Linked DNA regions of Lepisosteus oculatus. The protein of the gene in region 1 purifies or fractionates together with the protein of each later gene. This does not show direct contact. Links are inferred from orthologs where the notes say so. Each region holds a gene or a part of one and is shown in the gene's direction. Other genes may lie near its edges. The genes, in order: protein PML, raraa, ndufs1 and zfyve9a.

Region 1 (7,929 bases):
CTGAAGATAATCCTTCCCGTTATTGCATGTTGAGAACCTTTTGTGTACTTAGTCCTCTCTCAAGGACTCTGGAATTTGTTTAATTTAGGACTTTGGAACAATAATGTGTTCTAAAATTATTTGTAATTTAGTATGATTTTCTTTAAATGCTTTCTTTCATCAATTGAATTAAAAAGTTACATGAAAAATGTTAAACGGTATGATTTCAGAATAACAGATCTTTCACAAATCAACAAAATGAATCTTAAAAATATTTGCACTTTAAAATGATATCTGGAATCAGTCATGGATATTATTTGATCTTCAACACATTGTAAATTTAAACTGGATTATAAATTTAGCTTGAGTTTTTTTTTGTCATTGCATCAAAATGTAAAATACCTCATTTGTTTTTTTTTAAATAATAATTTAAGTAATTATGATTCATATGTTTGTCTGGTGTACATTTTTATTAAATGAGATATACATAGAAAGAGAAAAATATAATGTCTTAGATTATTTGATTTCATCGCACATATTAATACACATTTTCCATGGTCCACTAGACCAACATGTAAAGGAATGTATTCAAATTACAGCTGTTTTAAAACTTATTTAGCAGTTTTTCTAGCCAGGTTGACTTACAGTTCATACAGTCAATGCGATAAGTGGATACATGATAGATTTGCCATAGAAATAGTATATAGTCTATATATAATTATTCTTATATCAGTATTTTATAAATAAAATTTATATTTTATAATAATATAAATTTATTCCCTGCTGAAAAAAAGAAGAAAGAAAACACAACGTTTCGGCCGTGGAGCCTTCATCAGCCTTCCTCTCCACGACCGAAACGTTGTGTTTTCTTTCTTCTTTTTTTCAGCAGGGAATAAACCTGTTACTTGTTCCTTTGCAGCCTACGCATGCTGAAGCAGCTACCCACCTGAACTTATAATATAAATGGTATATTATCTGTTCCTGCTTAGTGCAGATGTCTCCAAATGGAATAGTTTTGTGGAATGTATTTGTGAATTCCTTACTTATTGTGACATGAGCGGTATGCTTTTTGCATGGTCTTAAGTGTGTAAACCTTTTCCAGTTAAAATAGATAATGCATTTACTTGTATACTGTATAGTGCTTCTCATCCCAGAGAGTCCCACGGCGCTTTACAGAGCACTCACCTGGGTGATGCACGGCTGCCATTGTGTGCCTGCAGCCCTACTACACAGGTGAAGAAGTAAGAAACTGCTTCATTAAGAGGGAATCTTAGGGAGGCCACGTTTTTAAATCCAAGAATGAAATTTAGACCATACCCCAGGGATAAGACCCCTGCTGTTTCCAGAAGTAGCATGGGATATTTATTGACCAGGTAGTCAGGGCCTCGAGCGAATATCTCCCCCAAAGGACAATTCCTCCTAATGCACAGCAACTCTGATCACTGGACTAGGTGTCAGCTAGTAAATTCAGATCCAGTGAGAAGAGTGCCTCCTACTGGTCCACCAACGCCACACCAGTACTGACTATGCCCTGCTCTTCCTTAGCTTCTGAGATTAGGCCACAAGGTGACAACACTGCTTCCAGTTTTATGTTTATAGGGTTATCGTCTTACATGGATTAAAGGAGAAGCTAGGGTCTAAAGCATAGTGTGTGGTCTTTATTGTACAGAATGAGAGGGGAATGCCACAGCTCAAATGGAAGCAAAACAGCAGACTGCTGAAATATGTGAAGCTGTGGCTCAGAACAGACTGATTGATCCCCAGCAGCATCACCAAGCTTCTGTAAATGTGTTTTCATGAGTGGTGGAAGCGAAATGATTTGCTGGGGGGAGAGGCTGTCGGAAATCAGCATCCGAAAATTATTAAATCTAACTTTGAGGTTGAGAACCTGTTGAGATTGAATTTACAATGAGAAAGAAAGTATATAAGGAAATCTACCTTAAATTGATTGTGTTGATCGGATATTGTCAAAGAAAATTTTTTGCAAATGGAAGTATCATGTCAAGATGAAGTGATTGTTATTTAGAAATGTCTTTTTTCGTAACAAATGTAAAGTGTACACAGCATTATGATGATGGTGGATTCGGAGGCAGATGGTTATGCAGTTTGAAGGTACTGTATGTCAGGTGTATGTCAAGGCTCAGTCCATCTGCTCAGGACCATTCTGAAAGGAGAACACAAGGACAGCCTCTCGGGGGAAAAGGCTGGAATTACAGTTTACAAGTCTGGAACTGATTTTCTCCTTCCACTTTAGTCTTTTGGTTACATCAAGAAAGCTGCAGTTTGTCTCAAGATGTTTCTATTGTAACACACATTTTCTTTGTACTTTCATTAGTAAATACAGTTCTTCTAGGGTTTTTAAATAGGGTATTTCATAATTCAGCTGTGGATCAGCTGTGTTCTTCTATTTTTTACATTTCTCAGGCCAAAGTACACATAAACACTTTGTGGAACATACCCTTTTGTAAATGGAGACATTTTATATCTAATTTAATTATAATATATGTAATTGTTTCTTGCTTGGAACAATGTTATTGTCAAGTGAAACAGCGGTCAGCACAATTTCAGTATAAAACCTAATGCCTCATCTTCTGTTCTAGAATTTACAGATTAGGTATCTTCAATGTTTTTAATATATATTTCAACACTTTGTGTGTTGCTGTCCATACGTACAGTATAATGGTGAAAAATCTGAATCATTTTAATTCTTTTACAGAATTAAAAGACCAATGGAATGTAATGCATTCGCAGTGGCCTCTTCTGCCTCATGTAATCTTCACCGCAGTCTTGTTTTCTTCGATCTCGAAACCACTGGACTTGGTAATTATATATTACATTTATATAGTATCTTTCTTCAGATAATTAAGTTTAAATCTATTGTAAACCCCTCACTGTGGAAAAGTATTCCTGTTGCAGATGTTTTAGCTGAGGTCAGTATGTGTCGTACTGCCAGTTTACAAACTGACAAGGATGTTGATGTACAGCATATAGTTATTACTAGTTGTTTATAATCCCCTTTTGTCATGTATGGGGAAGAGGGGAGTAGACTAACAATACGATTTATTTACAATGATTCTTCTGTGCATTTTCAGCAAGTTTGAGCTTTATTTTCTCTCTGACATTGTTTTCCATGAGTGGGGGGTAAAGGACTGATTGCAGATTGTGACACTACTTTTTGACTGCAGTCTTGGAGAACGGAGCAGTAACAACACATCAATTGTGCCTTTGCAAACAGGTCCAAGGTGTGATATCGTACAGTTGTCCGCTGTAAGTGGAGACCACACGTTTAATGTCTACATGGTTCCTCGGCGACCAATCCTTAGAGGGGCCTCAGTTGTCACCGGGTTCACTGTCAGGAGGCGACAGCTGTGGCTCCACAGCCAGGCCCTTCCAACCATCACTCACCGGGAGGCTTTGATATCCTTCGTGGCCTTCCTCCGCATGCTGAACCGCCCTTTTCTGGCAGGGCACAACATCAGGAGGTTTGACTGTCCTGTACTGCTCAAGGTGCTGGATGAGTTCCACCTGAGAGAGGACTTCCAGCAGGCCACCTCCGGCTTCGTGGACACCCTCCTCCTGGCCCGAGAGCTGTTCAGGCACAGCTCCATCCGGAGCTATCGCCAGGAGCACCTGGTGAGGGCCTGCCTCGGGACCTCCTACCAAGCGCACAATGCTCTGGAAGACGTCAAGGCTCTGCAGCGGCTCTTCCGCGCCTGGGCGCCCAGGTCAGAGCAGGTGGTCAGGCACACCTTCACTCTCTCACAGGTGGGAACTCGGAACTCTCGGTGGCCACTCATCTAAGGAAAAGTGATCTCCAAGCACGCTGCAAGAAAACTGGCTGCATGTGGAATTACTCTAGAAGTCTCACCTGCAGAGTCCCTCTAAGAGGCTCCAGAAGCTACTGGAGCCCCTGAAATAAGAGCTGTGGAAGGGCTGCTTTGGAGCCACAATTGGCAATATCACTGACTTCCTGGAACTTCAAAAGCAGCCTTAACCCAGCAGAGCTGTCTCTGAAACACGAACTGGCTTCAGCGCCAGTTGAGCCTCAGAGACTTGGTTCACAGGAATCTTGAGGCAAATAAAATTAACATTTGCGTTTATTAAATTAAAACCACTGAGAAGGAAAGACCTTTTGCTTCTCTACATACCAATGTTTAAGTTAACAGAATGGGCGTTTTGCTAGAGGCTGTTTTATTTCCACAGCAGTGTGATTTCTTGGACTTCAGAATCAAATGTGCCAAGTTCTAATAATTATGATCAAGGCAGAAAGAAAATTTATAAAAGACACTGCCTGTTTAGGAAAAGCATCTGTTATCTTTCATTTTATTGTTTTATTAAATATAAATAAAGTAATGTATTTTTTCAGGTCCACGTGATCTCTAAGGATTTAATAAAGTGTCATAATCTTTTGGTTTTTATTAGTTGTTTTAATTGGGTGTGTTTAATATTATGACGAGACAAAGGAAATATAATTTTACATGTAAAAAAAAATTGCATTGTGGCCATTCACATATTCTTCTATGTTAAACACCTATAAAATACAAGCGGAGCGGAGGCTCTGTGGCTCAGGATCTGCGCCTGTGGCTGGAAGGTTGCTGGTTCAAATCCCGCAGCCGACAGAGGAATCCTACTCCGTTGGGCCCCTGAGCAAGGCCCTTAACCCCCATTGCTCCAGGGGCGCTGTATAAATGGCTGACCCTGCGCTCTGAGTCCAAGCCTCTCTCTCCTTCTGTGTGCTGTGTCTCAAGGAGAGCAAGCTGGGTTATGCAAAAAGGCAAATTCCTAATGCAAGAAATTGTATATGGCTAATAAAGTGATCTTAATCTTAAATATTTCAAATTAGATTTCAAAATTTTGCTTTAGATCTGCTAAGCTAAGCAAATCGTTTCATAATAATGGCCAGTAGGGGGTGTTAACAGGCAAAATTATAGACATCGAGGAAGGAACCCCGTTTCTCCGCTGGAAAATGAGACTTGTTTGGAGAATAAGGATCCGTGCGTACTGTATGTTTGAAAACAATAATTCATACAACACAATACATTCTGAAGTATTGTTCTTTTAATCACAGCTGCAATCAGGTTTATATATGGCTTACAGTATGTTTGGCACATCTCATCGTCCGATTGCATTTAATTTCATGCACAGTACCCTTTCGTCAGACTAGAAGTGAAAGGGAGGTTAGCGGTACAGGCTGTTCATTTCCATTTCTGCTTCGCCACCTCCGTTTTCGTTTTCCTGCGCAGCTTTTAACCCTTTCCAGGGTGTGGTCTTTCACCACCACCATAAATCCTGAAACGGTCAATACAGCTGATATACTATTAATGCACAGAAAAACGCATAAAAGCTTTGTAACAAACACAAGGTAGCACCCGGCAGTAATGTGGCTGAAGGCAATCGGGGTTTTTAACAAGCATAATCTGAACGATCGATAATTATTGATTCATTTACCATTCTTATAAATTTATATCGTTTTGATATCTGTAAAATAATAAAACTGTCAAATATACTGTACTCTTCAATTAAATTTTAAATACAGCCGAAGTGTGAGACTTGAGTGGTCACAAAGGCAAGATTAGTATAAAAAGCAGTTCAGGATCTTGCTTGTTTTTGTCCATACTGTACCTCTGGGTTAGATTTTGGTCTTGTTGTGTAGAGATTAACGGTTATTTTTCTTTGTTCTCGTTTTTCTTTCATTGTAAAAGTGGTATGTCGTACTGCTAAGCAGTGATACGAACCGTGATATTCTGTAATAGAGGGAGGTAAATCCGGTATGTATTTTTTATACAAAGAATTGGCTCTTATTTTGAAAAAGCTTATAGACGCCTGCTACGGTGATGTCACTCCGCAGCAACTGGAATATGGAGGTGAAGAGACCACAGTGGACATCTTAACCCACCGATTTTATCCAGTAGGTATTTTTTTCTACACTTTTTCCAATTTTAAATACTATACTAGTTAACCTGGTGCAGCCTATGCTAAAGTTGTTCATATGCAAACCTGTGTATTATATGAATTTTGAACGTTCTCTGTAGTACAAACAAAACCAGGTCTGCAAAACAGTACTTTAAAAGTGAAATTTGGTGTTCACGGACCTTAGATGGAGCTGCCTTTGAATTTCCATAGAGGAAAATTAACTTTGCATTGATATGTCCTTAATTTGAGATCTACCCAATGCCAAGTGAGTGTTTTGTCCACATCATTTTACCAAATATTCCTCATTGATAAGGTATAAAGTGTTGATTCCACAACATGAATTGTGGCAAAATAATTTTGAAAGAGCATTGAATATCAGTTAGCAACACTGAATAGATATGGAATGTATGCCATATTCACAAATGGAAATAGGCACTTTTGACTCAGCACTGCATGGGTAGGGTGGATGTTACAGTTGGCCAAGGTTTTCTCAGCTTTTAGGAAGACAGTTTTCTGCAGCATATAGGATACCTTCAGACCTGGTGTGATGTCAGTGAGTGTTGCACTGCTCTGGCAATCTTTCTCTCCTGTCCAGCGCTCACATGTCAAACAGATGAAGTGCTGTAACAAGGGGCACGTCAGAGAATCCTGACTGCAGGGCCTCTTTCTCTGTGCCATACAGCAGACGTTGCCAAAAAATCAGGTCTTAAACAACAGGTGGTTTCAAACCGGGCACATGCATGACAAATATAATGGGCAGTTCCAATTTTTATATCTATAAAGTTAAGTCAACATCAGGAAGCAACACAGTGTAGATACTGAAAAAAATGTTAAGTACAAACTGAATCGGTCGAACTGTGATGTCGGAACAACGTTGCTTTTCCTGCTTGCAAATCCAACACACATTTTCGAACGGAATTGGAAAAGTGTTCTTGTGCCTTCCCTAATACACTCTGATGCAACTGGGTTATTTCTGGATTCTCCATCTTTTAACAGGACAATGGCTAATCAGGCAGGCACCCTATTACATGGAGAACAGTTCCTGCTGTGTGGAATCTGTACCAGGAACATCTCCTCTCCCAAGCTGTTGTCCTGTCTTCACACCTTTTGCGAGGAGTGTCTAACAAGGTCTGAGAAGTCTGATTCTGTCACCTGCCCTACCTGCCAGAAAGCCACAGAACTCCCCAAGGTGAAGAACAATGTGCTCTTCTCGGAGCTGAAGGCCAGGGTTGATACCTACAGACAGATTGTCCAAGCCAGCGTGCTTCCATGCTCTAGGTGCAGAGCTGGGGCAAGCTTCCTGTGCTTCGAGTGTGAGAAAATGCTGTGCCAGAGCTGTTTTGATGCCCATCAGATCTTCACAGAGAAGGAAGGACACCCAGTGGACAGCGTGGAGAACCTGAGGAGGATGGACTTCCCAGACTTCCTGGAAGCCACCCGCAAGAAGAGGCTCCCTTACTGTCCCAGCCACGAGAAGCAGATGATTAGGTTAGATCCGCTCCGACTTTTGGACTGGAATACAGCGTTGTGCCTTGGTGTTCCAATTTTAGACCTCTTGAGTTTGGTTCTAAAGATGTTCATAAGAAGCAGTCCACTATCGTGTTTCTAATCAGTCAGATATTACACTTGATGCGTAACAATTGTAACTGTAAACTAGAACCCTGTATCTTTTGGAGTAAGGGTTGGATAACAGAAGTTTGTGAGTGGTGATCTGGTTTCCTTTAACTTGAAGATTTACAGGATACAGGTTTTGTCTGTATTGTAGGTTTATTTTATTAACATCACTGTTAAATTATTTCCTACTTGAAACTTGTTTTCCACAAATTCAAGGTAATTTGACCAAAATCCCAGTTTTAATTCATGTTAATTTGATTTTCAGTAAGAGGGCACGTTTCTGATTTTCTTATCTGTGTGAATGAACTACAGTACAGTATATTACTGCCTGAATATCTGTTTTTAAAGAACCATGTGTTATCAGACCTGTTCTCTATTAATATGCCAAGGAAAAGCCTTTTGAGAGGTGTGAAAATAAGCTTG
Region 2 (7,805 bases), on another chromosome or scaffold:
TGTAGCCCGATTGCCCAAGCACCTTGGGGACTTGTGGGGTTCGGTTTTTTTTTTACTTTGTGCACAGCAGAGACCCCTGCTGTTTGCCTATCCCCAGGTGCGCCTGCACTGTTATGTGAGTGAAGCGCTGTATTCTTGCATCTTGGCATTGCGGCCTGACATGACAGAGCACATCCCTGCAGCAGCCTGCAAGTTGTCTTCATCTCCCCAGTGCCCCTACAAGGGATTGACCAAGAGCGGGTCATTCCGAATCGATAGAGAGCGGTGCTGATAATAAAATTATTATTCTTCTTATTATACTGAACACAGGAGCACAGTGCGAGCGCTTTGGGCAGGGTGAATGACAAAAGCCGCAGACACAAGACCAAACCTAAGACAGTCTGAACACAGAGAGGTGAGCTGGGGAAGATCCTGTGCGCCACACTACGCCCTCAGCTCCATTGCAGCCTCTACCGTGCACCTACAAGTGTACCGGGTGGCCTTTGCAAAGGCTGTTGGCTGGTTGGTTTAGCTCGTTTGCATGCCAAGATGGCAACCTAGACAGATCCAGCCGCGCGGCATCGACAGCAGCAGGGGTATCGGCGCACGTCTGCTGGGAAGGGAAGTGGGGAGAGCCGTGGACGTGGGTGAGCACACTCTGTGTCTTTAAGAGCGCTGTGTCGCTCGGCGCTGTGGAATGAGGAAGGCGGAGGTGCCAGCTGGATTCTTGGAATTCTGCTGAGCAGAAATGCGGGCAGGCAGATATATATATATATTTTTTTACTGTGGCATCACGGGAATAAGATCCGGCACTGCTTGGAACGCTTCAGCTCACCGCAGATGGAATGAGCACAGAGTCGGCTGAAGGTGTTTACTCTCCTGCCTGCTGCAGAGTCTCTCGAGCGTGGATAAGGGCCGCTCCCTGGCTGGCTGCCCCCTTGCTGTTCGGTTCCCTGCAGCCCTGCACTGATCTCATTAGATCTTGCGCAAGATTCAGCAGTTGCCCGCTTCGCCGGGGTCTTATCTCGCTCTGGATGTCGGAGGCGACCAGCTGTCGGGCTGTAAGGAAACCAGAAAATTAAACGGAAAGTCTGGCTGGCGATCTAATTCAACACGTAAAGCACAGCTTCTAGGCTCCAGTCATAGAATTGTTACTATTATACTGAACACGGGAGCACAGTGCGAGCGCTTCAACAACAACAACATCACTTTATTAGCCCTATACAATTTCTTGCATTAGGAATTAATCTTTTCGCAGACCCCAGCTTTTCTCCATGGGGACAGACACACAGACAGGGAGAAGCTTGGGGTCAGAGCGCAGGGTCAGCCATTGTACAGCACCTCTGGAGCAGCTGGGGTGAAGGGCCTTGCTCAGGAGCCCAACGGAGTAGGATTCCTCTGCCGGCCGCGGGATATGAACCGGCAACCTTGTAGGCACAGATCCTTAGCCACAGAGACGAGACCAATCCTAAGATAGTCTGAATACGGAGAGCTGCGCTGTGTAGTGTGACGCACAGGAACCTCCCCAAGTTCTACGGCTTCTAAGAACCACAGCCATGGCAGCCATGTTGGTTTTGCTTATTAAGATCTAAAAAGAGCTCAGGAATCTGTGTCCCAGAGTTCCTCTGCCCTGGCGTGCTGCTCGCACCTTTCCCCCCGACTGCTGCCCAGGCTTCAGCCCTGGGCTCCGTTCAGACGCCCCCTTGAGGAGTGATGGCTGACTGATGTGGGAGGAATGACTCTCTCCCCGTTGTCGCTGCTCTCCCGTGGGGGCGGGGCACCGACGGGACGTGAGCTCTTCTGGGACTGATGACGGCGGACAAGCTTGCAAGGCAACAAACGAGTGAGCTCTGAGAGGCCAGAGGAGGGCGTGAGTGCAGGCATTTCGCACAGGGGCCAGGTCGCCAGGAAGAAGGGAGTATTACGCCGGTGCAGAGAAGGTGACAGGGTGGTGGGGCCACTCCAGATTCACCTCGTGCAAGATGTAACGCAGGATAGCTCCGTTGCTTGGTAATTTGCATGCTTGCCGACTGCACACTGGCTGGAGACACTTGCGCCAGGACCTTCCCATCTCCCCTTGCCATGAAAGCCACCATTAAACTTTCAGTCTCTGTTTGGCAAACAGGTGATGCGGAAGATCTTGGAGAGGCTCACAGCTCGGCAGTGGGTGGCATCGCTGTAACAATAGGGTGTTGTGGCACAGCTGTCTTCACTGGCGGGGGGGCTGGGGGTAAATTGGTGGCAGTGTCTAATCTTTATTGCCCCCCTAACACCTCTGATTGGAGGGGGGGGCAATAAAAATACTTTCGCACCCTAAAGATCCAGGCAGGATGTCCTCCGCACTGCCCTCTCATAAACCTCCCTGAATTCCCAGCCCCAGTCTGGTCTGAACCTAACCCTCATTATCTGCTTTTCATTATTCCTGCTCACCTCCCAAAGACCCAGGGTCCTGCCCCACCGCCACTCACTGTGTGTGCGCAGGCAGGCTTGCTTTCGCTCAACCCCACGGAGGGCAGTCTGGCACCCATCACAGGTCTGGCATTCCTGGGCAGCTGCTGGCTCCTGCCAGGCCCACAGGCCACATGCCCTTAACCTCTGGCTCTCCGGCAAGCTCCTTTTCAGTGTCTTCGCTGTGGCACTCAATTATGTGGCTCTCGAAGTAATTACTGGCTCACCAATATGGCAGCGCTGAGGTCTTTTAATGACAGAGCATTTGAAGGCTGTACCAGCAAAACCAGGCTCCCAGTACAGAATGTCAGTGTCGCCTGGGGTCCTTCCAGGGACTCATTCTTCAGCGGCTGACGTAAGTCCTCAAGTACAACATCCTGGTGCTGGAAACGCAGGCCTCCCCCATTTCTTTTGACTCTCCTCCAGACCTGGAATAATTAGTCATGTTGTAGTTAATTTCCCAAGTTCATACCGCATGCAGAGGTTACTCACAATCGCAGACAGCCTTCAAACGGGGAGGCTGTCATTCCTGACCTTTTGGTGCTGTTGCAGCAGGCCCTTATGCACATAACGGGGCATTAATGACAGATATCAGGCAGTTAACTGGCAAGCAGGAAAGGCAGATGGGTCCTGTGCCAGCGCATTTGTGCACAGTCAGCGTAGCCCTGCAGCGGAGGGATCTGAAGGGAGCCGTTCCTGCATGGGCTGGCCATGTCCACTGCAGTCTTCCTTCGCCCGGTCCCGCTGGTCCTGGCGTCCCTTCTCTGGAATCTCCTCTGAAATGGACTCCAATGGCACAGAGCACAGAGCTCAGCCTCCCCTCCCCCCCGCCTGCTGTCCTTATCAGTAAAAGTAAACAGTTTAAGCCCTGGTGTTAAATTAGTGTCACAGTTTGCTGCCAAGGCCCCAGCAGGCCTTCCCCTGCAGAGTCCTGGGGAATGCCCTCCAGTCGGAGCTCCGAACTGCCCGGCAGGCTGGGCAGGCTCCGGGCCCGAGGCTCGGCTCCGCTGGGAGCTTTCCTGGGATTTCCCCCGTGCTGCCCGGGCCTCTGCACAGAACATGGCTGCTTCCACTCCAGATGGCCTCGTTCCCTCTGACTGACCGACTGCTGTCCGATCAGTCCACTTTGCCCTGGGAAAAAACACTGATTACAGCCTCAAAATGTACCATAAATAATACACTAGTGCATCCCCATCCGTAGAGCTCTCTGTGAGGGACACAGGCCATTTGTTCTGACCTGGTCTGAATTTGCAGGGCACTAAACAAGTCCATTGCATTGCTCGTGACTGTCGTATTCACTGTCACGGCACTGTGCGGCATTATCTATCTAGATCCTATTAGTCCTCACGGAATTGCAGTCTAATGATATTCTTGAGTATTAGATCTGCCAGGCTGTGTGTGTGACCATGCTTTCAACAAGTGACTTCTTTTCTGTCATGAACAAAGACTCTCAATCTGAACCATTTATTTATTTATTTATTTATTTATTTATTTATTTATTTTTAAGTGGCGTTTTGCAAATACAGAAAACTTGCAAACTTTTTCAAAGTCTGGGGGAAAGGCCGTCGCTCTTAAGCTCATCGTGCGCGGCCTCCGCTGTGTGGAAGCGCGATGCGAGATGAAAGATTTAACTGTGCGCGTTTTGGTCAACGTCGGCCTGGGTGCTGTGCGGTTCTCAGACCAGCTCCCTCCCACCTGCGAGTCGGTGGGACTTTTCGGGGACTCCGCGTGCCAATGCGCACGAGCGGCCAGGTGGGGGAACCTCGAGTGACGTCAGCGACAGGAACGCGGAGGAGCGCGCCGGAGTCGGCGTGTGGGTCACCCGGAGGTGAGGCGGCCGGCTTCCGCGGGTTCAGGAAAAGTTCACCCGCATAACATTAGGCAAATTAGTCCGGGGGGAGACCGGGAAACCTGCGAGAAAAAGGGGACGATGGGAAAAGGGGGTCTTCCGCGTCACGGCGTGGGAGCTGGGCTCGTGGGTGGAAGAGGAGGCGTCACTTAGTGCTGTACGAGAGAGGCATTCCTGTTGGGGTGGAGGGGTGTGTGTGCGTGTTTATTATGTCCCTAAAACTGCGGCGGCGCGGTTTTAGTTTGCTTTTTAAAATTGTTTCAGACGACCACCACCACCTCCTCCTCCTCCTCCTCCTCCCCTATTTTGATTTCGAACCGACAAGTGTTAATCCTCTTCCCCTCCCTCAACCACACACACACACCCCTCCACCATCACCACCGAGCCGCTGGGTTTGCGGCTTGTACCGAGAGAGCGGGCGGTTTGGCCCGGGTCCTGGGGCTGTGTGACTGCGGGAGTCCGGAAAGGGTTAAGTCGGGGAGGCGCTCTGGAGGGAGAGAGAGAGCGGAGAGAGAGGGAGGGAGAGAGGAGGTAGGTGGGGTCCGGTCGCAGTTGCTCGCTGCCGTCACAATCTGCGGCGCAGGGCAAGCGGGTACCCTGCCTGGGAACAGACTTGGCGTGAGAGAGGAGAGAGATCCCCGCACGACAGCAATAAACACGGAGTCGGGGGGGGGGAGACGGATCGAGTCACGCGAAACGGGGGGGATTAAAAACGCGAAATCTGCGACGCCAGCGAAACACAGCTTCCGCGCCTCTCGCCTCGACACATCCGAGGCGCTCGGCTGGATTTAAAATTATTTTATTTTGTTTTGTTTGGGGAGGGGAGGGTCTCCCCCCCCCCCCGATGTGGTGGAAGGAAATTGAAAAAAGAGTGCCCCCCTCCTCCACTCCATCGCCCTCCCTCCCTCCGTGCCTGCCTGCCCCCAGTCGGTGTCGACCGCAAGCGTCGCAGGGCAAGAGGAGACTGTAGCCACCGAGGCAGGAGGACGAGGGTGGTCCGGTCCGGTCCGTTTGCGCTGTGGAGGTGAGGACGCGCTCCTCCTTGCCCGTGAAGATGTCGCGCCTGTACGGGGAGAGCGGCTGACGACGCCAGCCTGTTCCGTGCGGGATTTGTACCGGCGTAGCTGGGCTGTTTTTTTGGCGTGTGGGTGTCGCGGTATTTTTTTTTTAAAGAAAAAACTTCAGTTTTTTTTTTTGCCTCCCTTCTTGCCTACCTTCTCCAGTTTTGTGGAGTTTTTTTTTTTAAATAAACAGTTTTGTGGCGGGGTGCGGGAGAAAAGTTGGCACCGCGGGACCCGTCTGGAGCAGGGAGCGCAGCCCGGGGCCCGCTCGGGAGCACACGGAGGGGGAGACGCGCCAGCATGCGAATCGCCGCCTCTCCAGCCAGCGCTTCCACGCACAAAAACCGCAAATGAAGTTGTTCTCGGACCATGCGGGGAGACCCACTTAGTTAGCTGCTGCACCCAGACCCCACACTGAAATCACTGCCCGTTACTTCATCCACAACCACAGTGATTGGTCTTCTTGCTGGGACGGAACTTTGCTGTTTGTTTTTTTTTCTCTCTAAAAGATCAAATCATCAGTACAGCCAAACTTTTTTTTTTCCCCCAGCAAGGCTGGGTGGGGTGGGGGGGGAGATCTCCCACAGTCACTACCTCTAAGATGTTGTTTGACAGCTAATCAGAAGAAGTTGTGCGAGTAGTTCTTGTTGCTCCTGCCACCGAGAGAAGATTTTGTTGTTGTTGTTGGGATATTACTTTCAATCGGGTTTTTTTTTATTTTTATTTTTTTTGGAGTCGCCAACACGCATCATGTATGAGAGTGTGGACGTGGTGGGGTTAAATCCCAGTCCGAACCCGTTCCTAATGGTGGATTACTACAACCAGAACCGAGGATGTTTAATCCAGGAAAAGACGATCGTGGCCGGATCGCACCACCCTTACGGCAGCTCCATCAGAAACCAGCACTGGACCGGCTCCAATCACTGTAGGTGGACATTTCTGCTCCTGGGTTACAATGTTTCACTTCGGGGGACATGTGTCTGAGCGATCGCGTGTTACGTGTAGCCCAACTCGCGTTCTGTGGGCTTCCGCCTACGGTGCAATTTCACTGGTCTGGATCGATCTGTATCCCGGCCGCTTCGTGTAATTACGGCAGGCTCGTCAACGAGTTTAAATTAGCGCGGCCCCGATTGTGTGTGAGAGAGAGAGCGAGCGCAGGTGCTGTGATTTAAGGCGCTGCTTGAGTGACCTTCTCGGTGTTTGTGTTTCGCTTGCAATGTCTCATGTTGTCCTTTCCGAACGAGCTCCTTACTAGCGTGTTGGCTTCTGTTAAACCACCTCGGCGTCTGCCGGCTTTCCTCGCCGTGTGAACGTGGAGACCCTTGCGTGCGCGTTTGCTACACCTCCTCTGTGTGTTTTCACCTAAACATGTTTTATTTGGTCAATAGCTTATTGCATCTATACCCTCTCGATGGTTGTGCTTCAAGCACAAACCGTTTGGACGGCTGTAGTAATCACCATTACAGAGGGCTTTACCGCTGTAGCCCCCGGCCAGCCCGGCGCTCTACATACGCGACTACGGGTTTTGTCTTTTTTTTCCCGGCCTACAGTACATGTAGCGAGTTGTAACAGTAACTGTGCAGTAACATTTCCAAAAGAGCGAACAGAAACGTGCTTGCAATGCTGTGTTTCAATGCATAGGACACTGAGCTCATTTGCGGAGGCACCTTTGTTAAATTGCATTGTAACGGAGGTTTTTGTGGATAATACAGGACGCGCTGCTTTTACATTTCCACAGATTGACTGTTTTTGTGGGTACTTGCTGTGCTTAAGAAGGCGAAAATCTTTAGAATTGCGCGGCACAGTAAATGTATATTTGAATTTAAGTGCAGGGCTTTTTAAAACCGGTTGAATGCCAAGTAAGAACAATTATGGGCCGAGCAGCTGTTGGTAAGCGAGTTTTTTTTTGGAAACAGATTTTCTGTTTCTAGTCCCTTTCCGAAACTTGTTTCTTCCGGACGCAGGAAAGAATTTTTCCTCCCTAAATCGTTAGTCATCGCAGTTTGTGCCAAACTAGCGTATTGAACGACGCGCCTTTCGTGGTTTAACGAAGGTAGACAGGGCGACGGGGATGTCATCATTTCTAAACCGATCGTTCACGATTTTTTTTTGTAAAAAAAAGCGTTATATCTAAACGCTGCTGTCGAATACGAAGTTTGTACTCGACAGAAGACAAGAAGAAAAGGTCATCATCGTTGTCGTTTTTGCACTCAAAGACCCATAATCGGTCCGTGTCGTCAAACCGTCGTGTCCAGAGTCAGGAGGGACATTCGTTGGATCGTGTTTCGGGGTCGCCCGCTATTTTATCTGATATTTTCATTAGACTTTTCTAATAACTGAATTCTGGTGATCATTTGTGCATATAAGCCCTATAAGAAGCGGAAGAAGGGACAGTAGAAATCGCCGGACTAAGGCTGCGCGACGTGCTGCACCTCCGGGGAAGGCGACATCGGGAGCCTGTTGTCGAG
Region 3 (7,165 bases), on another chromosome or scaffold:
ACTACTGTTGTCTCCACAGTCAATACCAATTTCTCCAAATACCTACATTTTATTTGCTTTAATATATATATATATGAACCCACTATTTCATTGACAACAAAGCAACATATCTAAAAATCATGCTGATTAAAAACTTGTCAGAACCTTGTCAAAATGACACTTAAACAAGAGAACACCTGAAGTAAACAAAATCAATCCCTTCACTGGACAAAAAACCTGAACATGCAGTAAAATACCAAATATTACTCCAAAGTGTAAAGTATCCTAGAACAAAAAATGTTTCTTTGCTAATCAACATAGAATTAGATGTTCCAGGAATATACTTCAGGAACAGGACGTGGCTGGCTTTAGTCCAGCAGAGAACAGCACTACAATAATTCTCTTTTGCTATGAACTAAAATAAAAACCCAAAATCTGAAGGACAGGGGAAGTCGTGTGCTACATTATACAGAATATCTATACAGCACATGGGAAAGACTTGGGATTTATTCACTAGCGGCCCCTGCTGGGGAAAATTACTGATTCAAGCACACTTACAGGATCCCCAGACAAGACCGTCCATCTGGATGCTTCTGACACACTCCTCCAGTTTGGCCATGTCTGTCTCGTCATCCCACGGCTTCACGTCCAGCAGGATGGAGGACTTGGCGATGAGCGCTGGCTCTGGAGGAAAAAAAAAAAAAGACGAGGGTCACCCGGCACACTAAAGCACATTGCACCGCTGCATCAACTCTACTGTAAATATGAACGCTGGCAACCATCAGATCAATAACAGTCCATCAGGGATTCAGTCGAAAGATGGTGAGTTAGATCATCACTGTTCCAGCGAACAAATCACCGCTCTGAAAAATCCCCCCTTCAAAATAATTTGCGATCCCCTCCAAAGAATCGAGCCCCACAAACAAAACACTTTCATTTTTTTGTGCCCCAACGGGCAGCATCTGAAATAAAACCCAGATCACCTATAAATTCACTACTGACATCACTGCAAATCCATGAGCAATACAAATGAGCAGATCCACCATGACCAGTTTTCGTAATCTACAGGTACTCAAGAACTCCCAAGCCTTTCCAGCTGTTTGAAAGCACACCGGAATCAAGCCCGGAAACGCAATCAAAAGGTGTGTTTGGTGCAATACAGGTCAGGGAGGGATATTAGAGGGTTGCTAGATATAGCCTGCTCCCTGCCACGGGGACAGAATATAGGCGGTAAGCTTACTTTTGGCTTTCTTTGCTTCGTAGGCCGCAAGACGCTCCTCCCTCACCCTCTTGGCCTCTTCACTCTCCTAAGGGGGGGGAGAAATCAAGAAAGTTACCTCCCAAAAAAAAAAGAAAATCGGACAGACCAGGAACAAAGCATCAGATACACGCACAGACAAGCAGGAGACTGCTGGCGGCCGTCAGACATCAGAATGTCCATCACGTCTTCAGCCGAAAGATGGTGAAGAAAAATCACTCTGGCCAGCCACAAAGGGAAAAACACGATCTGGACGAGGAGCTGGCAGAAACCATTCTAGGAGAGCCGCCGCCTTCAGTTAACACTTCAGTTCACGCGCGGCTTGAAATTTGCTTGTAATATGATTATCTATGAACCGGTGCCATTGTGGCATCTCTATATCGAACGATATGCAGCTGCGAAACAAGATTGCGTGAATCGGTTACAAGGGCTCCACGTGGAACTCGGACGTGTTGCAAGGCAGCTCAGTGCTACACATTACAATCAACAGCAGTGCCTGGCTGCACAAGACCGATAACTCATTGTTAAAAGATGAATTGGGGATTGTCCAACCCCTGGACACCTCACTTTCCACATCCACGTATAATCTGTAACAAATCTACAAAATGATTCTTCCCCCCCGTTGCAAAAGTGACTCTCTCAGCTGGCTTTGTGCAGAATCCACACGCACTCACCTCTTCCTCATCAGACCCAAACAGGTCGATATCGTCGTCGTCCTCCTCCTTCGACTCGGTACTGGTGACGTCTTCCACTCCAGCTGGGCCATACTTCCCCAGAGGCTTCTTCACTCCAGGAAGGCTGTGGAGATAAGGGACGGGAGTATGAGATGGGAGACAATAGCGTACACCACCTCCTGCAACCGAAATGAACTGGTTGGGGTCAGAGCTGATAAGCTGTGCATCACAGGCTCAGGCGAAAGATGGTGAAAACGATCATCACTCCACCAGTTAACACGGGCTTCATTTTACAACACAAAGAAGGCTTTTAAATTTCCTCTCTTGCTTTGCCAGCCAGTACCTTGCTTTCTCCTTCTCGTAGGACCTGATGTGATTGTACCAGCGCAGGGCATGGAACAGGTCTGCGGAAGGCGGGCTGGAAAGGGCCTCGAACACAGCGACATCTGCCTGAGACGGAACGTATCTGTTCAGAAAATAAAAGCCCACATTACACGTACGGTACAGACAACGGATTCTTCCTGAAAGGGGCACTTAACATCACTGTTGGACACGGTTATCAACTATATTAATCGATAGACGTAGGAGTCAAAACATTCTCCGAGATTCAGTCTTTCACAACTCTTCAATCTTGCGACACATCTTCCAAAATAGTACGCATGAGGCGAATTTCACATTTGAGGAGAATAAATTCATTTCAGCTGGGTGAATGAGTGATGCGTCCGTTTTCTTTTTTAGCACCCCCGCAAAACTAATCGACCCGAGCAACGAAAGGGTAAAAAAAAAATTGTGCCATTTCAAATGAATCCAAATACATCCCGTCCTGTTATTTTTTTTACTGAAGTTGTGCTAAAAGGAGTTTGCACGGCGCAGACAGATGTCGGGGACACTTTCAATGGGCTCCTAACAAGAATATACTGATAATGCAATGCAGTTAAGCCCGGTAAAAATGCCTATGGCCTACAATGTCAGGATATGATTAACATATGAGAATCGAGTACAAAAATCGTTTTACTTTCATTAGTTTCGTTTTTTTAATATTAAACGTTTAAGATGTATTTTACATATTATCAGCCCATTTTCTCCACAACCGCACTCCCAAGTCCTTAATCACTGAGCAGGCCACAGGCCTTGCCGGGTAAGAGTTACGTGTCAATTTTAACGTTTACGTAACAGAATCGCGAACTACACCCGTTTTTAAATAGGAAAAAACTAACATCGGTGATTTTATTAATCCGGTTTTGTAGTTTTTAAACGATAAAATCCCCTTTCGTTTAATCTGGCGCCAACGTGTCACGGCTAACATGACTCGTGAGGCGTGCTCAAAAAAACTTCCCAACGTGCAAATTAAAAAAAAAACGTATACCGTGTACAGACCCCTCGATATAACTTTTATCAGCCAAAAAGTCGTTGAGGACCTTCAAGCCGGCCGGGGTTTTAAGATCTCCAAAGCCCATTGTATTAGATTTGTTGTGCAGACCTCGTTTCAAAGACCCGGGGGTACGATTTCTTCACACCAGCGGTCCAGCAGGAAGAGAGAAGGAACGAGTTTCTTCTTACGATGACATTTATACCTCTGACGACAACACTGGCTCCACCCTCACCTCCTCGGACAACTAATTTATTAAGAACTACCTATTATATAATATAATGAACGAATCTTATTCGAAGTTTTCAATGTGTTAGGGGAAAATGACAAATTATCCAACTTTGAATTTGCATGACGAGAAAGATCCATCCGTCGTGTCTCAAACACACAGCCTTAAGAAATGCACGTCCGAAGCACTTCGGAGAGACTTTAATTGATGTGTGAAAGTTCTCGCAGAATCCCAGTAAAAGTTTAAACTAGAAGCAATGATTTGACAGAGCTTATCGTGTGGAAACGAAGAGAAATTAAACGCGTCAGGCGGTTCTCAGAGAAGAATTCTACATTTTAATCAATATTCCAAAAAATAAAAAGCAATATTTCTTTATCTTCTCACTTTATACTATTTTGATGGGGGTTTTCTGACTTTACATGAAAAAGAAATTAATGCAATACCTAGGTAAATACGTTCATTCATGTAGGAAGTGACGAAACGAAGGTTAAAGGTGAAAGGTTCTTTAATATCAAAATAAAAATAATAATGACATATGCTAGGCAAAATGGATGTATTTGGTATAGAATAAAATAAAATTAGTCTCTTTGGAAAAAAATAAATCTTTTGCGGTATACGTTATTTGATCATTTTCGTTATTTTCTCCGGAGATTGCCGAAGTCGCCATACTGGTAGAGCGCCGCTGTTCTGGTCTAGAAGGCCAAATAGCGACAAGGTAAGATGACCAAAACAGACCTCTGAAGTTGAAGTGATTAGTGTGTGGGCATGCAGATGCTTACTTTTTAAACTGTCGTCAAGCTACAATTAAAAGACGTTGAAGTTTGCTGTTTTTTAGAGTGAAAAGAAGGGGTTTGTTATCTCTTTCTGTGCCCTTGACTCTTCAGTTATGTAGCTTGCAGTGCCCTGCAACAACCTGAGCTCTGTGGTGTAATGGAAGAATTGAAAATTAATTAACTTGTGAGAGATGAAATTTATTTCTTTGTGAGCTGTTGGTCTGCCTCCTGTTTACCAAGTGTCACTTTGAATGTCGGAGGTTCTTATCATTGTACACGCCAACATTTTGTGTTTTAGTCCTAATGCTGTTCTTTTGCACATAAAGTGAGAGGATGCATTAGGTAGCTTTGGGATTTCATTTTCTAAAGTGTCTTAAATAGATAGAGCCGGACCGTGTTGTGTTAAGACATGGGATTTAGAGTCGTGTGACCTTTTTGCCGTTTCTGGGTCGTCTGTGTGTTCATGAAACCCATTCTTCTAGTGTCAATGTCTGATGTGTGTTTTTCTTCCAGCGACATGTTGCGTTTACCTGCGGTGAGACGTGCACTTTCAGGGGCTGCCCGTTCCCCAGCTTGCATAAGTGGGAAGAACAATGGTAAGCCCAAAAAATATCTATCAGTGATCTCTAAAGCTGAGCACACAGATGTAAACAGAGGGAATGTCCATTAGACAAGTGTTGCCTGGGGTCTTTCTGGCTGTTCATCTCTCTTGGTGGATGTTGCCACTTTGCGGTGCTTTAGCAAGACAGTTCTGCCTGGGCTGTTGCTCTGAGTGGTGTTTAGGAGCACCTGTATATACAGCAGGAGCATTGATGTCTTTGGGTATCCCAGCCCTGTGTGGCAGCTGTAGTGCTGCTTTGATTTTGCTGTACAAATCCGCATTGGTAGAATAAACTACGCCGCTGAGGATCCGTACTTGTGCTTCTCAAACTCTTCCCCCAGAAAGATCGGCGGTGTGTGGTGGAATCGGAAGAGATCGCGTGTCAGCTCTTTCCAGCACTTCAAGCAAATCAACCGTAGCCTTAGTTGAAACAAGCTCATAGGCTGGTTATGAGCTCACGTTCACAAACAAATTATAATTGGGGGGAAAAAAATTAGTGCTGAATCTTTTCCTGTACCACAAGTCTTGTGAGATCTTAAAATCATGATGCGGGCTGAATACAGTGCTGAGAAGTGTTATTTGAAACGCTTTGCAAAATAAGATAGTAGTGGAACTTGTTTTCAGTCCAGACCCTTAAATTCTTTTGCATTTGTTTCCCATTATGTTTACAACCCCCATCCAATAACATGATCCTCTGTGAGGGGCATGAACAGTTTTTACAGGGCATAGCTTGTAATCCCACTCAGCTGGGGGAATATTCACAGCCCATCCCATCCTTCTTGTTAGCTTGGTTTTGCACACCACTGCCTTCATCACTACCTCGACTGGAGATAATCTTGTTTGTTTTGCTCATTTCACCGGTTTCAATAGGGTTAAGAGATTGTTCTTTTAATGGGGCACAGTGGTGCAGTGGCTGGCATTATTGCCTCACAGCGTGGGGGCCCTGGGTTCAATTCTGGACCCAGGGTACTGTCTGTGTGGAGTTTGCATGTTCTCTCATGGTTCTAGTGGGTTTTCTGCAGGTGCTCCGGTTGCTCCCACAGTCCAAAAACATATTGGCAGGTTAATTGGCTTCTGGGAAACCTGGCCCTGGTGTGAGGGTGTGCGTCTGCGTCTGTGTGTGCCCTGTGATGGACTGGGGTGTCGTCCTGGGTGGATCCTGCTTAGTGTCTTTTGGTCGCCTGGCTCTGGCTCCCCCTCAACCGAATTGGATGAAGTGGTTAGAAAATGGATGGATGGAAATGTGTACTTCTCGTTACTTAACAAAAAGTAACAAGGGAGTAACAAATAACAAGGGTGGAGCAGTGACACTGTGGCTAAGGATCTGTGCCCGTGGCCGGCAGAGGAATCCTACTCTGTTGGGCCCCTGAGCAAGGCCCTTAACCCCAGCTTCTCCAGGGACGCCGTATAAATGGCTGACCCTGCGCTCTGACCCCAAGCTTCTGTGTCTGTGTGTCTCATGGAGAGCAAGCTGGGCAATGTGAAAAGACAAATTCCTAACCCAAGAAATTGTATATGGGCAATTAAATGATCTTATCTTAGTAGGAGGAACTTAGTAAAACCTGAATTGGAAGAGGCAGCTGGAAAATGGTGATCCTCAAGCCAGCCTTGCATTTGCATACTGCTGAGAGACTGGTTACAAAAACGAATGAGGAAGAGTTCATTGCGCTGGGTTTCTCGTTTGTGTCTGCAGTCCGCACCACAGCTACAGCAGCCAGTAACCTTGTTGAGATCTTTGTGGATGGAAAGCCCCTCATGGTTGAACCAGGAACTACAGTGCTTCAGGTGAGTTCGTATTCCGAAATGGTTACCATCTTGAAAATCAGTGTAAACTTTGTGAAACTGCAGGGGTATTGTGGTCCATATTTGTATGGACAGGTCAGTCCACTTTTGGAAATGTGGGTAATGAGTTTTATTTATCCTTTAAATGGTGAAGTACATTTTGGGGGAAAACAGATAGGAAGTATTAATAGTTACCTGTCATTTAATTCGGACCCAACTGATTTTTTTTTTTCTAGGCCTGTGAGAAAGTCGGAGTTCAGATTCCACGCTTCTGTTATCACGACCGACTCTCAATTGCTGGAAACTGTAGAATGTGTCTGGTGGAGATTGAGAAAGCACCCAAGGTACGGGTCTTCCAAATTACAAGATTTCGAAAGCAAATGATAAGTGCAAAGGATTTTGAATTTTGATACATGGAGAAAATCACATGGAGTTTTGGTGGTTAAATGTCTGTTGAAAGACCTTTTCATGTGGTTTTGTAAAAGTAGCTGCATATCAAA
Region 4 (7,640 bases), on another chromosome or scaffold:
TAAAATCCTGCACCGTCATCAATTTACCCACAAAATAAAAAGTAAATGTAGGAAACAATTGACGCATCTAAGCTGTTTTTTCAGAGAGCGTACACGTAGCCTCTGTTAGCAGGGGTCGGTGTGGACCGTCCCTACGCCGCTCGTTGTGAAAGCAGCGTGAGATTTTGGCCCTGGCTTGTGCGTCAGTCCCGCCTCGCCCCCAGTGCCAAACAGAAGTGCAGTAGTACACCTTTCTAGTGGAACATCCTATTTTAGAAGGCAAATAACATCATTTAAAAATGTCACCCCCCCCCCCCCCCCCCAATATAAAATTCTGGCTGCGACACTCTCTAGCCCTCCCCCCACGTCCCTAGATTGGATGAAGGGGTGAGAGAATGGATGGGTGTGTCGTTTTCTTTAGGGAACTGTGTTTTTTTTTTGAAGGGTTAGAATTGCCAGTGAAGAGTTATCTTGTTTACGTGCCCTCCCGGTTTGTGATCGCCAGCTGCGCGCCTCCCGTGTCCCGGCTCTCGGCTGTGCGCCCCACGATACGCACGCGGGGGGGTGAGGGAGTGTAGGCATGTTCCTGAGACTCGGCCATCTCTGGGCCACTGGCCTTGTAGCGCATCACTGCCCTGCGCCACAGTGAAGGTGCATCCATCACTGGTACACAATTTGCTCACAGTATTTATTGTATATTGTAAATTGCGTTTTACAATTTCGCATGGGTCAGGTGTTATTTACAATTTTTACAATACTTTAATGTTGGCTGCAGTGGATGAAGACTTGAGTGCTTTCGAATGTCCAGAATGCAGGAGTGTTTTGTGAGGTGCACCCATAATGCCTATGGAAAGGCATATTTTTTACCCACCCCAACATGTTTGCTCACATACACCCTGCCTCCTCATCTGTTCAAGTTGCAGAACTCTTTCACTGCCATCTTCTCTGAAAAGAGCTGGCAGTATGTCAAAAGAATATCTTTTGAGGGATCCAAACCTTGTATAAATGAATAGATTGAGTAAACTTGACGTGCTTTTTTTTTTTGTCCCATGTAGTGCTTGATAACAAAGCACCCAAAGCAGAGGATATTGACGAAGAAGACGACGATGTCCCAGGTACTGATGTGTTTACGCTCATTATATCCGACCTGCAAGATGAATTAACTAAAACTTAACATTGTGTTAAGAGTCTGGTGAACCTTCATGTCAAAAAAGGTTATTTAATTTGAACCACTCTGATAAAAGTATTGACTTATGTAATTATAAGTAGCTTTTGAATCGCTCAATTTAGTGACGACTTTAGATGATATTCTCTAATTTCGTTATATCTATGAATGTTTGTTGTTGGGTTGGAAATGCATGACCGGAGAAGCAAGTAACTTTTTTTACTTGATGGACATGGCTGACAAAATGTGTTTGCAGCTTGAGGAGAGGACCGAGATCTCCTTGAGACGTGCATACTTGTCTTCTGCGTCTTCTCCTGCATCTAGAACTGTGTGGTTATGCATCAGCAGACTGCTGTTGGTCTTTCCTCTGAAGCTGGCTGTTTTTTTTTCCCCCTAAATCAAGTCTTTACTCCAGATGGCTGTAGTAGGAGGGAGTTAAAGATTGTGTAAAAACACCAGATGCTTGAGGCAGTCGGCACAGTGCTGGTTACGTCTTTGGGTCGATGCCGGAGCAGTGCAGTGAAATTTATTGAATTACTCACGGACTCGTGACCGGGGGGGTGGGGTGGGGGGGGGGGCGCGTTCATGAAAAGGAATCGTCACAGGATTGAAATGTCTGCGATGAGAAGGCACGGGGCGGTCGCTACCCGCTCCACAGCCTCCAGAAGAGCCAGAGCAAGGAGATGGCGGGACGTGAAGGCTGTGTCTTTTGTGCTGAAGTGTGAGCCCTGGCGTTTCTCGAGCTGACCCCACCTGGCCGACTCTTTCTCCCCTTGCAGACCTCGTAGAGAACTTCGACGAAGCGTCCAAGAACGAGGCGAACTGAGGCCGGCCGGAGAGGGGGGGCCGGAGCTCTTCCTGCGGCGGGCAGGGGCGACGGCGTCCGAGGGAAGCGGCTCGTTTCAGTGTTTTAACCTTTAGAAACAAGAGTTATGATTTCAGCGTTGCGACGGACGAAAAGACTTTTTTGTATTTTTAACAGGCTGCCCGCTTCGGGATCTTCCATTCTGGACCGATTTGTGCACTAAAACGCCATCGACACAATTTCCTGAAAAAAAAGGGTTCCCAGCATTTAATTTTTTGTTTTAAAGCGGCCTGGTATGCCGGCTGCAAATGCAGTGGTGAAGGTGAAAAGCTAGTCTTATTTAATTTTTTTTTCTCCTTGCAAACTCCACAATAAAAGATTGATTAACCTTTTCTATATGGTGCTGTTTCATTAGACAACGCAACACTTTGTATGAATACGGCTGGTAAAGGATAAACAGATTTGATAGCCGTTTTATTAAGGGGAATGGTGCTTGTGAATCACCTTGGCTTGACCCTGGGATGTTCATGAGGGCACAAGGGACATGAGTACTGTCCGTTCTCTTCTCAGAAACCAGCTTTTGTAAGGTCATTTCACACACTGTAAACCCCATAAAGCATTGCAGGACAATTGGCATCGATGGGAGGGGTGTCGTACTCTGGCTGGCTGGAGCCCAGTCACGGTCTGCTAGTGTCGCAGCTCAAACGATGCTCTTATCGCCCAAAGGCTAATTTAGTGGGTGTATGGAACAAGCTACCCAGCCACGTGGCCTTGGATCAGTTAACTGCTTAAGCACCAAGTGGCCTGGGTAGTCTTCTCTCATTAGTACCTGCTCACATGTTCTTATGCCTCGCACCTCGGGCAGCTGGACCGGATCTCTTGAGTGAGCCGATTTAATAGTTCGGCCAGCCTGGAGCCTAAGGGCAATAATCCGGGTTCAGCCGGGGACTGTAAATCATGCTTCTGTGTTCCCGGGTTGAAATCGACTTCCCACTGCAGCGGTGCCTGTAACTGGCCTGCGGGGAAGAGGTTTCATGCCCAGCCGTCAAAATAATCCATCAATTAACGCAGCGAGTTTCGATGAACATTTTCTATATATTCCGTAACCTGAAACAAATTAATAATCCAGCGGTCATTTTTTTTTCCCCCAAAATGAAAATATCCAACAGGGGGCACTGTTTTTTTTCTTTTTAATATCTGTACTTGGGGAAAAGAGCTGGATACTGGTTACTCTGTCGCACAGGTTTCAACAGCTTGAGCAAGAAAGTTTTGCCAGCGATCCGGCATCGTTGCTAGTGGCGTATTAATGCAGTTTCACTAGCATCCCTGGACAGAGATGGAGGCCAATAAAAAGTTAAGGTAAAGGCGTAATAGCATTTCTTCTGACCAATACAAAGGCTAAAACATAACCTGTAATTATATGCGGGTGAATCGCTTTATGTATTAGAAATATCAAGCTTTTCACGTTTATTTTACGATTTTTGTGTGTAAATGTGACGACTTTTCTAGAAACCTGTACCACACGCTTGCTTCCAATGAAAATGAAGCTTTTATGCAGGGCAAGCGGTGCCCAGGGAGTACTCTCCGTGTCTGTTCAAGGTGACAGGTCACACGATAAGGTGCACGCAAGATGAAGTGTTTCAGACGTGCACTCAGAAGTTGTGAATGCACTGCAGATCATGGTGTGAGTCACAGCACGATTTAACTCCGTTTTTACATTTTCTATTGGTCGGTGAGTCTCATGAATCCAACTGGTAAATGTGTGAGGCATTCAGGAATTCACGGATCCGTCCGATTACTGTGACATCCCGACAAAACGGTGAGTCGAATTAATCCCAACTTTTAGGAATTCAGAAATCTACGATCGCTGTGACATCTGTAAAAGCGGTCTCGTCTTTTAATAATTTCGCATTGCTTCTCCGAGCCCTTGACTTAAAGTGAAACCCGGTTTGAAAGACACTTTTTGTACGAGTCGTAACGCTATCTTGTAGCATCTTTTTCAGCGCCCAATGAGGCGCCGGAGGCGATGTCTTCCACGGTTCAAATTTTACAGACCTTTCGCCGCTTTAATCTTAGTGCGCATCAGTCATTCACAGAGATTAGCCGACCGGCGACCAGGTTAATTTTTCTGCACCTTCATCCGCAACGCGAGCTTTCGGTGTAAAATGCCGTCTGCCGCAGACTTTAAGATTTAAAAAAAAATAGTTGTATATTCGTATTAAGGCACAATATTCACGTGCTTAAGTGAGGGGGGGATAATTATTTAGCAGCTCCTTCGCGGGCAGCATGAGAGTCCTGGCGTTTCTGACATAATTATCGATGTTTGTTTTACAGCACAGACCACACTCTATTCTGGCTGTGCATCTCGGTTCAAGAAACATTGTAAAGAAGACGGGATAACAAGCCGATTGCCTGTTTGCCTACCTAAGTAGAAGAGCTACGGTTATTTATTTTGCATCATAAGATGCCTGCGCCTACCTTTCCTCCGGCCTAGAGGGGGCTGTGTTTTTCTTGACTCACACTATCCGCAGATTCTATTGGCCTGAGCTGGGAGAATTGTCGAACAGGGCTAGTGTGACGCGGATGCCATTCCGGCTCCAACTGAGAACCCGGCGGAGCGATAAATATTTGCAGCACTCGGAGCCAAAATGGCGTGCTGCCGTGCAGTTTCCTTAACCTTCTCTACGTTATAATACTTGGGGGAGGTGTCCTTCTGTTCCCTATCTCAACTACCCGACTTGTTCTGGAGCCTGGAGACATCGGGAGTTCAAACGAGGAGACTTATAGATCGTTAATATAGAAAAAAAAAAAGAAATAGATATCCAAGGAGAAGCCTTTCGGACCCGTTAGTTCCCCGAAAATACGCGGGATGTGGAGGGACGTGTTTCGTGGCGTTTTAGGATCCTGAGAAGATGAGGGGACCGCAGGTGAGACAGAAACGTTCGAGTTTGTTGCGTGTCATGTTGAAGCAATGATTTTTGAAGGAGGGGGGGGTGTGTGGATATTAATTAATTCACACCCCAGATTGCAAGCGGGCTGTGTGTCTCATTTTACACGCAAAATAAAATTGCAAGCTTCGGGAAAACGCAGTGAAATCGGAGGCTGGAAAGGTGTCTGTTGTCTTTTTTTTTTTTAACCTGCCGGTGAATAAAACCTAAAGGGTCGCAATTCCTCAGACGAAGATCCTAGCGTGTAACATTCTTTAGCAGCGTAGACCACGGTGCTCTGCCAGTTGTACAATAATCTGAAGAGGAACCGGCTCCCCGGAGCGTGATCGCATTTCGTTCTGCAAATCGGTGATCATGCCTGAGCCCGGCCGTGGAAAGTCACTGCAGAGGCTGTTGTTATTTCCAAAAGTGCATCATAGAGTTTGGTCTCGTCGTCCGCCTCCTCTACGGTCTTGGCGCTTTCCGGCTAATGCGGGACACAGGGTAAGCGCTTTCCTCGCGAAGGGCTGTGGCTTCAGCACGAGTGTTTTTATTTTGTAAAGCCGCGGTTGGTCCCGTTGTTTACACGAAGTTGAAGCCCGGCCTTTATCCTACCCCCCCGGCCGCGGCAGAGCCCTGTCCCAGCCGCAGTGACAGCGGGACGGACTGGTGCAGGATCGGGGGGACCCCCCGCCGCTGTTCCTCAATGCGGAGAGCACCCCCGTCCTGTTCATTTTTCTGACCCGTGTTCACGGCTGGCCTGGGCCGTGGACGCATGCCCTTTCAGGCGATTGATAAGTGTCGAGCTGAGACTGCTGAATCGCACACGCTCTCTCGCCTCGTCTTGGGGTGGCATTTTATTTTGGTTGTTTTCGAGAAACGGGGCGGGAAAACACCCCAACAGCATGTGATTTGGAGAGAGCGAGTGACTTTCCCTTTCCTTTCAGATAAAAGTTAAATTGGTCTGGGGCATCCGTCGGCGTCCTGGAGTCCTGCGTGTTTCGAGATCGGATTTGCTATTGCCGATTTATGTCCCCAAGAGCTGACTATCGCCCAGTTTAGCCTATGGAGAGAAACTCCTCACCGAGTAGCTTTGTCATGTGTACAGAAAGGAGCTCAACGTCTCGGATCATACCCCACTATTGTATTTTTTTTTTAGTTTATAATAATTTGCTCGCTGGATGTCTAGATGACTGCAATCGTAGAAAAAGAAAATCTGTTCCTGAAAAGACGCCGATCTTATGTCACAGTAGGGGAGTTGAGTCATTCCGTACATGGGGAATTTGCATATTTTATCAAGTGGAATGAAGCCACATCATTCCCTCGCTGGTGTCTTTGCAAGGAGGGGGTCTTGAGCGGCTCGCGGAGACGGGTGGGCGGCGGAACGATGTGGGGTCTCGAGCCGGGGTGCGCACCGACGCCGCGCCGTGATTGGCTGCGGCGGGGCGGCACGTCACAGGCCGAATGTAAAGCCGCTCGTGGCCTGCATGGTCAGCCGAGGACGCCTCAGCGCCCACCCACCCACCCGGTGCACGCAGAAAAGGCACGATGGCATGTTATCCTCTTCCTCTTCCTCATCGTTTTATAAGACTCTCGGCTACCTGCATTTGTCCCTGGCGGTGGTATCCCGGCTCTTTGCCCTGCTGCAGCAGGAACCCGCTTGAGAAGTCTTCGCCCTGTTGCGGTACCCGCCTATCACGGTTTATTTTCTTTCAAATTGTGTTTTAAGACAAAAAAAACACACACACACACACAACACACACTCTCAGTATGACGTCGTTGCGTCGCTCGCATCGTTTTAAGACCTGGATTTGTAAAGGCGCGTCCTAAAAGTCAGTAAGCCCATAAAAACCGGTGTATGGAAAAGGTATTTTATTTTGGTCCCGCTCACGGCACTTCACTGTTTGGGGTGGCAGGCCTTCGTGTGTCGGCTGTTTAAAAAGTGATTCACCCCACTTCAGGTGAGCTGTCATTTTCGTTCATGCGGAGGATCAGGTTGTCAGCCGTTAAACTGGTGCTTCACCGCCCTGCTCTCCACAACGGATTTCTGGAGGGAGAAAACCGTGTTTCTGGGCTCTGTTTTAGGGTCTGGAGCTTTGCATCCATATCTAGTCCTTAACAAAGAGTGTGTACTCGCTGCACAAGAATTCCTCATACAGATTCTGAAGTAATCGGGTTGGGTTCGACATCCCTCCTTATTTTGCAGTTTCTGTACATATGCTGGAGTCTTCTGTTTTATAAGCATAATTAAGACGGAAGATTACTGTGATTATACTCAGTGTTGGGGAGGGAGTACTTCAAAGAGAGAATCCAGGGCTCCCTAATCCATTCTTAAATAACTGTCACTTTGACGCCATCCTGAAACTTCTTATATTGTAATGGGAGCATTTGCATAATCCAGCACGAGGTTTTGCTTTCTGCTAATTTCTCCACTGGAATGAAGCGGAGGATATAAATACCCGCCTGAGCTTGATCAGAAAATACTCCGGCTCGCTCTGTAGCCTCGGTTTTGTAAACCAGCACTTGCTGCTGAAGTGATGCCCCCTGGGACGTGATGATGGGAGGAGGTGGGTGTGACGGGACTGAGAGTCTTTCCTGGTACACCAGTGGGTCAGGGTGACCCCCCACTCCCATTGTTTTCCTTTCTCGGTGACACAATCCAACGCCTTCATTGGCTTAATAATAAGATAAGCCCGAACTATTTGTTCCCAGCTCTTCAACGCGTTGGAGCTTTAGTTGACATGTTGTGATTTGTAAGTGAAAT

The links.
Region 2: the proteins of protein PML (region 1) and raraa purify together in Homo sapiens (affinity purification with western blotting; 6 studies listed by BioGRID, with this or other methods). This does not show direct contact. The link is inferred for Lepisosteus oculatus from reciprocal best matches to the Homo sapiens genes PML and RARA.
Region 3: the proteins of protein PML (region 1) and ndufs1 purify together in Homo sapiens (affinity purification with mass spectrometry; 3 studies listed by BioGRID and IntAct, counting the BioPlex papers as one, with this or other methods). This does not show direct contact. The link is inferred for Lepisosteus oculatus from reciprocal best matches to the Homo sapiens genes PML and NDUFS1.
Region 4: the proteins of protein PML (region 1) and zfyve9a purify together in Homo sapiens (affinity purification with western blotting; 3 studies listed by BioGRID and IntAct, with this or other methods). This does not show direct contact. The link is inferred for Lepisosteus oculatus from reciprocal best matches to the Homo sapiens genes PML and ZFYVE9.

Annotation. Positions count from the first base shown.
Region 1 is NC_090700.1:59,363,989-59,371,917, forward strand, and holds the start of protein PML, read left to right. Parts: upstream 1-4,923; 5' UTR 4,924-4,982; intron 4,983-5,701; exon of another isoform or gene 5,702-5,791; 5' UTR 5,792-5,887; intron 5,888-6,888; 5' UTR 6,889-6,892; coding exon 6,893-7,380; intron 7,381-7,929. Other genes in the region: protein PML-like, read left to right, coding at 1,094-1,212, 2,696-2,799, 3,215-3,780.
Region 2 is NC_090723.1:6,530,946-6,538,750, forward strand, and holds the start of raraa (retinoic acid receptor alpha-A), read left to right. Parts: upstream 1-4,795; 5' UTR 4,796-6,087; coding exon 6,088-6,262; intron 6,263-7,805. UniProt on the Homo sapiens protein: Receptor for retinoic acid. Retinoic acid receptors bind as heterodimers to their target response elements in response to their ligands, all-trans or 9-cis retinoic acid, and regulate gene expression in various biological processes.
Region 3 is NC_090707.1:32,796,020-32,803,184, reverse strand, and holds the start of ndufs1 (NADH-ubiquinone oxidoreductase 75 kDa subunit, mitochondrial), read left to right. Parts: upstream 1-4,159; 5' UTR 4,160-4,224; intron 4,225-4,795; 5' UTR 4,796-4,799; coding exon 4,800-4,878; intron 4,879-6,576; coding exon 6,577-6,668; intron 6,669-6,901; coding exon 6,902-7,009; intron 7,010-7,165. Other genes in the region: eef1b2 (elongation factor 1-beta), read right to left, coding at 538-663, 1,220-1,286, 1,912-2,035, 2,255-2,377, 3,289-3,368.
Region 4 is NC_090704.1:3,610,981-3,618,620, reverse strand, and holds the start of zfyve9a (zinc finger FYVE domain-containing protein 9), read left to right. Parts: upstream 1-4,629; 5' UTR 4,630-4,876; intron 4,877-5,173; exon of another isoform or gene 5,174-5,380; intron 5,381-6,390; exon of another isoform or gene 6,391-6,560; intron 6,561-7,640. Other genes in the region: btf3l4 (transcription factor BTF3 homolog 4), read left to right, coding at 1,035-1,094, 1,924-1,970. UniProt on the Homo sapiens protein: Early endosomal protein that functions to recruit SMAD2/SMAD3 to intracellular membranes and to the TGF-beta receptor.